2 linked regions of the Macaca fascicularis genome follow. Each later gene encodes a partner of the first gene's protein in a complex. Links are inferred from orthologs where the notes say so. Each region holds a gene or a part of one and is shown on either strand. Other genes may lie near its edges. The genes, in order: ATP2A1 and SLN.

Region 1 (3,814 bases):
CAGGTGTATGCCACCACTCCAGGCTAATTTTAAAAAAGTGTTTTAAAGATAGAGTCTCCCTATGTTGTCCAGCCTGGTTTCACTCCTGGCCTCAAGCAATCCTCTTGCCTTGGCCTCCCAAAGCATTGGGATTACAGGCATGAACCACCACACCTGGCCCTATAACTTTCAGTAACGATAGAAATGTTCTGTGATCTGCACTGTACAATTGGTACAACTGAGCAATTGCTGTGGAGCATTGGAGGTGCTCTGTATATTATTTAATTTGAATTAATTTTTATTTATTTATATTGAGATGGAGTCTTGCTCTGTTGCTCAGGCTGGAGTGCAGTGGCGCAATCCTGCCTTAGCCCCCTGAGTAGCTGGGATTTTAGGCACACGCCACCACGTCCAGCTAATTTTTGTATTTTTTAGTAGTAGACCAACCTGACCAACATGGAGAACCCCCGTCTCTACTAAAAATACAAAATTAGCCGGGCGTGGTGGCACATGCCTGTAATCACAGCTACTCGGGAGGCTGAGGCAGGAGAATCACTTGAACCTGGGAGGCGGAGGTTTCGGTGAGCAGAGATCACACCATTGCACTCCAGCCTGGGCAACAACAGCGAAACTCTGTCTCAAAAAAAAAAAAAAAAAAAAAAATGAAGGCCAGGTGCAGTGGCTCACGCCTGTAATTCCAGCACTTTGGGAGGCTGAGGCAGGAGGATCACGAGGTCAAGAGTTCGAGACCAGCCTGACCAACATGGTGAAACCCCATCTCTACTAAAAATACAAAAACTAATTGGGTGTGGTGGTGCATGCCTGTAATTCTAGCTACTCAGGAGGCTGAGGCAAGAGAATTGCTTGAACCTGGGAGGCGGAAGTTGCAGTGAGCCGAGATCGCTCTACTGCACTTCGGCCTGGGCAAAGGAGAAAGACTCTGTCTCAAAAAAAATAACCTCATCTCTACTAAAATACAAAAAGTTAGCTGGGCGTGGTGGCTTGCATCTGTAATTCCAGCTACTAGGGAGGCTGAGGCGGGAAAATTGCTTGAACCCGGGAGGCGGAGGTTGTGGTGAGCTGAGATCGTGCCACTGTACTCCAGAATGGGGTGACAGAGCAAGACTGTCTCAAAACAGACAAACAAAAAGAATGAAAGCCTTTTTCACCAAATGTATCATGGATACTTCTCCAAAAAACAAAACAAAAATAAAAGGAACAGAAAATCAATAGCCAGGAGAAGTGGTGCATGCCTATAGCTTCATCTACTTGAAAGGCTGAGGCAGGAGGACCACTTGAGGCCAGGAGTTAAAGGCCACAGTGCGCTATGATCGCACCTATGAATAGCCATTGCACTCCAGCCTGGGCGACAGGCCAAGACCCCATCTCAAAAATAAATAAATAAAAATTTATGTTTGCATTATAATTTATAAATTTTTAAAATTAATCCTCTATTGATAGGTATTTAAGTTGCTTTCAGTTTGTTTGTTTATTTTTAAGACAGGGTCTCCCTCTGTTGCCCAGGCTGCAGTGCAGTGGTGCAATCACTGCTCACTATAGCCTTGACCTCCTAGGCTCAAGCAGTCCTCGCACCTTAGCCTTCCTAGTAGCTAGAGGACAGTTTTGTACCACCACACCCAACTAATATTTTTCTATCTTTTTTTTTTTTTGAGACGGAGTCTCACTTTGTTGCCCAGGCTGGAGCGCAGGGGCACAATCTCAGCTCACTGCAAGCTCCGCCTCCCGGGTTCACGCCATTCTCCTGCCTCAGCCTCCCGAGTAGCTGGGACTGCAGGCACCTGACACCATGCCCAGATAATTTTTGTATTTTTAGTAGACACGGGGTTTCACCGTGTTAGCCAGGATGGTCTCAATCTCCTGACCTCGTGATCTGCCCGCCTCGGCCTCCCAAAGTGCTGGGATTACAGGCGTGAGCCACCACGCCTGGCCCTTTTTTTTTTTTTTTATTTGTAGAGATGGGGTCTCACTGTGTTGCCTAGGCCGGTCTTGAACTCCTGGGGTCAAGTGATCCTCCCACCTCAGCCTCCCAGAACGCTGGAACTACAGGCGTGAGTCTCTGTGTCTCACCTGCTTTTTTGTTATATTAAATAAAGTAGCAATGAGCATTTTGTATATACAAAAAAAGAGAGAAACGTGGGGAATATAATTCACCAGAGAGAGGTGCTTAATGGAGACGTTCAGCAAGTATCAATAGCAATAACTGGGAGTGACAGTCCCAGAAGTGGCTGAGTTCATCTGGGCAAGGAAAGGCTTTCCCTGTAGGTGCAGCAGCCACATTTCCTAAATCCTAAGTCAGGACTCATGATCTGCTGAAAGCAAGTGTGCTTCTAGAAACAAAGGGATAACAGATGAAGTTGGGGCTGCTCCTGGATGGGTCCCTTGTAGTTTCCGTGTCCAGCTTTGTCCACTTCAACTCAGGACACAGCAGGCAGAAGTGATCATAGATCCATCAAGGGCATAGCTGCCAGGCAGCACCAGGGACAATGGGTCCCACCCACATCAGCCTGCGGAGAAGCTGTGGGGGGCCGTCCACTGCCTGGGTGGGGTCCCAGCACAGGCACTAGGCTCTACCCAGTCCAACCAGGGCCTCTGCCTTCCTCTGGTCTGTGCAGCATAGAGTGGAGATGGCCCTGTGGCAGGGGCTCTGCAGGCTCACCGAGTTGCAGGCGTTGGCTCTCTCCACCTTCGAGAGGCTTCTCACATCTGTGTTGAATACATTCATCTTCTCCACCAGGGTGGTGAGTGCTGTCTCGGTGGCCTCGCCAACCTTCTCATAGACACCTTTGGCCTGAGATGGGCAGAGGAGGAAGAGGAAGTAGGTGCCCCAGGCTCCCACCTGTCACACCCACCTTCCACCTAGCGTAAGAAGGAAGCAAGCCACTGCCTCCCTTGCACGCTGGCAGAGGACTGGGTGTACTGGGTCCCCTTCCTCCAACCCTTTCCTCCTGGCCTTCAGAGGAGGCTCAGACTCTGAGCCAACTGGAAGGGGAAGGAGAGGTTACCTCGTTGAAGTCCAAGGAGGAGTCATTGCAGAGGGCACAGATGGTGGCCAGCTCCACCAGCCCGTCATACTGCCCTGGCCGGACTGGCTTATCATTCTTCAAGCTGGCAGCAGGGTCGGAGGAGGAAGGGACAGAGACAGTGGAGAAGAACAGGGAATGAGATGCAGAGAGGGCACAGGAAGAGCAGGCAGCCGAGGGTCAGGAAGGACAGTAGGGAGAGCCAACTTGGATATCAGGAGAGAACAAGGTCAGGGAGGAAGGGGAGAGTGAAAGGAAAGCAAAACCACATGGAGGGTCCCAGGGAGAAAGGGGGTGTGGGGAGGGGCGTGAGGAGCTGGGGAGAAGTTGCCTGGGTGACTTACACCTCTCCCTCTGGAGCGTAAGTGGAGCCGGTGATGGAGAACTCATTCAGGAGGCAGATGTCCCCATCCACCTTATCAATGATAAACATCTGCAGGGGAGAAGGGCAGGCACACAGATGTCCACCTCTCCCCATCCCGAGGTGGGCGCCTGCATCAAAGGAGGCCTGTGCTGCCAACACCTACCCTCCCACCCTCCTACTCACCCCTCCCTGTCCCCCACCCCCCATATACCCTACCCACTTCCCACCAAGCTGTTGCAATCATTCTCCATCAAAGCCATAAAACAATCGTTACTGAGGCTGGGCGAGGTGGCTCACACCTGTAATCACAGCACTTTAGGAGGCTGAGGCAGGTGGATCACCTGGCAGGAGTTCAAGACCATCCTGGCCAACATGGTGAAACCCTGTCTCTACTAAAAATACAAAAATTAGCCAGGCATGGTGGCACGCG
Region 2 (4,249 bases), on another chromosome or scaffold:
AAGCCCCTCGCATAACAGGCATTCAGCCCAAAGAGCAAGTGTTAACTTCATGGGTACTTCTGTTTCAACAAGGGCTTGTGCCAGCTATTTTTAGTCAGGTCCAGGATGTGCCTAGATTGTAAACATTTCAAAGAGCAGGGATGGTATCCTCATAGTATGTACAGATTGTCCATACAGGAAATCATACTTTGAGAACATATGCAATGAAGTCATCAAATTATTGTCTTCAGTGAGGTAGTGTAAATTGCACATTATTCAGGCAGTCTAAATGAAATTAAAGATTTATGTATTTTGAATAATTAGATATTTATATCTTAGATATTTAGGGCCAAAGTCTACTGTAGAGTGAAAGTTTAGGGAGAAAAGGTGTTTTGTTTGTTTGCTAAAGGTGAGAGTTCAAGAGGCTGAAAGGGTTGTGAGCAAGCTTTTGGTCTGAGCGGTATTTTTTTAACTATCTAACATGACTGAATTATTAATTGTAATTACTGTATTGATTATATTATCAATGGACCAAATTATTAATTGCATAAATGCCAACTGAATAATCATTTTTCGTATTGTGTAACTGGCATAACATACAGGTTCAGCCAGGCATGGCAGTGGGTACCCGTAGTCCTAGCTACTTGCGAAGCTGAGGTGGGAGGATTCCTTGAGCCTAAGAGTTTAAGACCAGCCTAGGCAACATAATGAGACCCTGTCTCAAAAAAAAATACAAGTTCAAATCGGATGGTGCCAGCCAGCAAATATATAGCCAAATGATGACAGATTTATGTTTCATCTCCCTTTTAATTGTTATCCATCTTTTAGACCTCAGCATGAAGGAAATAGTAAATTGCCAATGAAAACGATCGCAAATGGCTGGGCATGGTGGCTCATGCCTCTAATGAGCACTTTGGGAGGCTTGCACATTATTCAGGCAGTCTAATAATGAGTGGGAGGATCACCTGAGCCTAGGAGTTCAAGAGCAGCCTGGATAACATAGCAAGACCCTGTCTCTCCAAGAAAATAAAAAGGGGAAAAAATAGAAAATCTTTACAAAGATTTGCTTGGAGGAGAAAGTAAACAGAAGAAAATGAATGGATCAAGGAAAAAGGATTTATGAGAATGTACAAAAGAGCAGAGGAGAACAGAAAGGTAATGAGTCTTGCCAAGGTGCCTGGAGGCAAAGGAATGAGAAATGAAGACAGATTCTTTCTTATAGACTTATCAATGAAATAAAACCCTAGTCCAAATGTCCATGTATTTGGGTAAGTTCTCAAGAAATGCAGAAAATATGAAGCCTGGCTTATAATGATCAAAACAATTCAATTCAAGGAGGGCAAAATAACGGTCCCACCAAATCTGCCTATTAAATTAAGCTGTTAAGTCACAGGAATCATGGATAGTGATCCAACAGGATATACTCAGAAAATGAGAAAAATACTATTGAAAGCTGTTCCACAGCTCTGTTCGTGTTACCTTCACAACAACGCAGGCAAGTGTTACTGCAGTTTTTCTCTTTCTCAAGATTGCAGCTGAGAAACTGACTTTTAGAGAGAGGAGATTAAGATGTTTGTGTAATGACAGATAACAAGTTAGAGGCAAAGCTAGAATTAGCAGACTGGAACTAGTTACTAGAATTGTGGTCACTTCCTAGGAGTTATGACATAATTGAATTATCACTGCAATTAACTGGCCTGGCTAAACAAAGTTAGCATAAATTTTCTACCACTTTGGAAAACAATTTGGCTTTCTTAGAATTAATGGTGAAAATGTTCATTCTCTAATATCTAGCATTTCACTTCTACCTTAAGACATTTAAGGACGTGTGTGCCAGGTTACATAAACAAAGAGGTTCACAGCAATATTATCACAATAACTCCAAGCTGGAAACAACTCAAATGTTTATCAACAGCAGAATGGATGATAAATTGTGGTATATTCATACATTTGAATTTTATAAAGCAAAGAAAACGTATGAACTATAGCTACACACAAAATGGGTAGATCTCACAAATATAACTGTTGGGTGAAAGAATTTACAAAAGAAACATAGAATATGACTCCATTTATATGAAGTCAAAAATAGGGAGGCTAATCATACTGTTTAGGAATGCACACATAGATGGTCAAACTATAAAGAATAACAGGGACAAGAGGATCCCAACATCTGAGGCAGAAGGGCAGGATGGGGGTTGATCAGGAATGGGTTTCTGGGCGCTGGCAATGATCTGTTTCTTGAGCTGGATGATAATTATAGAAGTGTTGCCTTTTAGTTACTGTTTAAACTGTATATGTTTATGCACTCTTTACATTTTTTTTTTCAGTCATCTCTGAATTAGCAGGCTACCCATCACACTTCTTTCTTTCTTGGGATTTACTTCTTACTACTTCTTGCACTTTAACGGTGACCTTAAGTATTTATTGTTTTATGTGATTTTAGATGAATTAAACATAAAGAGTTAAGTTGAGAATTTCTAGTGAATTCAATTCAATCAACACATATACTAACTGTAAGGTGTGGTGTGAACATTCCTTTCACACACATTTATACACTTTAGGAAGAATGAACCAGTTAGGCAGAAATTCAGATCAGCCAAGTTCCATTTTTCTGCTGTTAACCCATAAAGACACTTTGGGTTTCATTTTAAACATTCCCTGAAGTCAAGGTCATGCCATATGATCCAGTGATTGCAAGTGGATGAACTAAAACCCAAAAAAGCTCTGAATAAATTGTACAGGAAGCTTGACGTTGGTTTTCTTTGAATGGAGACTTAGAGAAGATAGCAAACAGACCTTCTTCCATAATACCAAAAAAAATTTTTTTTTTTTTTTTTACTAGGAAGGGAAAAAATGCATACCCTTAGGAGAAAGAAAAGGAAAAGAGAAAGCAATAGTATTCACTTTATACCTTAAGGCACGCTGTATACAAGGGGCATTGCCTATTTCATTAAGAAATGTAAACATTCCTGTGCCTTTCTCATTTGCAGCTTGTACACACACACACACCGTATGCTAAGCATAAAAATCCTGCAGTTACCTGAAGAGGATCAGAGACACACCCTGGCTATAGCAGGTTTCTCCTCGCTGTCTCCAACTTCAGCTCCAACTCCTTCTCCCCTCCCAGGCTGTCTGGACTCCTAGACTCTGGGCAGTGCCTAAAGTAGTCCGTGGAAGCTGGCAATCACTGTGATGTCACTGATGAAATATCTCAAAGGAACACCCTCCGAAGGTTCGAGGCTATTTGTGTTCAGGGGGACATGGGAATATGTTGACTAAGACTCTGTTCCTTTGGCTGCCAATTTGCCACTACCAGGATTTAAAAACCTTCTGTTTCCAGTTGACTTTTAGTGCAATTGACGTGGGTTTTAAATGTATCTTTTACATCTTCACGAATATCTTTAACATGTCTTTAAAACATCCTAAACCAAGAATGATAGACTAATTTTAACCAGTCGATGCTGCATTTGACTGCTCTCCCTAGTCAGCATGTGAGGTGTAAAAATGTGACTTCATTTTACCACCCATATCTTTAGTTATTTGAAATGTGAAGAGTTTGCTGCTTTACACCCACACACATGCACACCCATACACACACACACACACACACACACACACACACTCCAGAATTCAATAGGCATCTTTAGCTCTTTGAAAACTGACTTTAGTCCAAGCAGTGAAAGCTATCCCCTCAGTCACCTGCTCCACATAACTTTCCGGCTAAGCTGTGCATTGCAAGTTTACATGTGGATCTACAGTTTCATCTGAAACAGCCGAGGAAGTCATGGTTTGTATATCTCTGTCAATAAATTAATAGAGCAGTAAACTCACAGAGTTCAACTCAGTTATTTGGATAGATTGGGGGGGAAGGAGAACTGGGGTAAAATTAGTGGAAAATGTGAATTATAGAATATATCTGAATGAAAGACAAGTATTATATAACTTTCTAACACAAACATTGACTAAAATTAGACTAAGATGAGTTTGTAACCAACATATCACATGTTTAGAGCCCCTGAAGTGTTTCATTAGACTTGAAAGCAGATCAATTGAGTACTTTAAACATGACCCTAGCCATTGTGTTTGCTCAGCAGATCCTTTCTTTATAGATAATAGAGGAAATCTCCCCCTCTGAATTCCCAGTTAGGGTCAATCAAAATAATGCATTCCCAAAAGGCATAAACAAACGAAATTCTCTACGTAGTTGTGCCCGTCGTGAAACCTTTCCGTCCATTCCATTCCTCATACCCCAGAGACATTACCAAAACAA

The links.
Region 2: the proteins of ATP2A1 (region 1) and SLN are in contact, whole or in part, in a crystal structure (PDB 3W5A), measured with the Oryctolagus cuniculus proteins. The link is inferred for Macaca fascicularis from reciprocal best matches to the Homo sapiens genes ATP2A1 and SLN. Residues at the interface, in XP_069919846.1 of Oryctolagus cuniculus: Phe88, Val89, Leu96, Ala100, Ile103, Val104, Trp107, Arg110, Asn111, Asn114, Arg324, Lys328, Trp794, Leu797, Gly801, Leu802, Thr805, Ala806, Phe809, Trp932, Ser936, Leu939, Leu943, Leu946, Ile947, Val950, Pro952, Leu953, Ile956; in NP_001075856.1 of Oryctolagus cuniculus: Met1, Glu2, Arg3, Ser4, Thr5, Arg6, Glu7, Leu8, Leu10, Asn11, Phe12, Val14, Val15, Thr18, Val19, Leu21, Ile22, Trp23, Leu25, Val26, Tyr29.

What each region holds. Positions count from the first base shown.
Region 1 is NC_088394.1:27,574,248-27,578,061, forward strand, and holds part of ATP2A1 (sarcoplasmic/endoplasmic reticulum calcium ATPase 1), read right to left. Parts: intron 3,454-3,814; coding exon 3,365-3,453; intron 3,106-3,364; coding exon 3,003-3,105; intron 2,789-3,002; coding exon 2,657-2,788; intron 1-2,656. UniProt on the Homo sapiens protein: Key regulator of striated muscle performance by acting as the major Ca(2+) ATPase responsible for the reuptake of cytosolic Ca(2+) into the sarcoplasmic reticulum.
Region 2 is NC_088388.1:106,717,261-106,721,509, forward strand, and holds the start of SLN (sarcolipin), read right to left. Parts: upstream 3,114-4,249; 5' UTR 3,020-3,113; intron 1-3,019. UniProt on the Homo sapiens protein: Reversibly inhibits the activity of ATP2A1/SERCA1 and ATP2A2/SERCA2 in sarcoplasmic reticulum by decreasing the apparent affinity of the ATPase for Ca(2+). Also inhibits the activity of ATP2A3/SERCA3.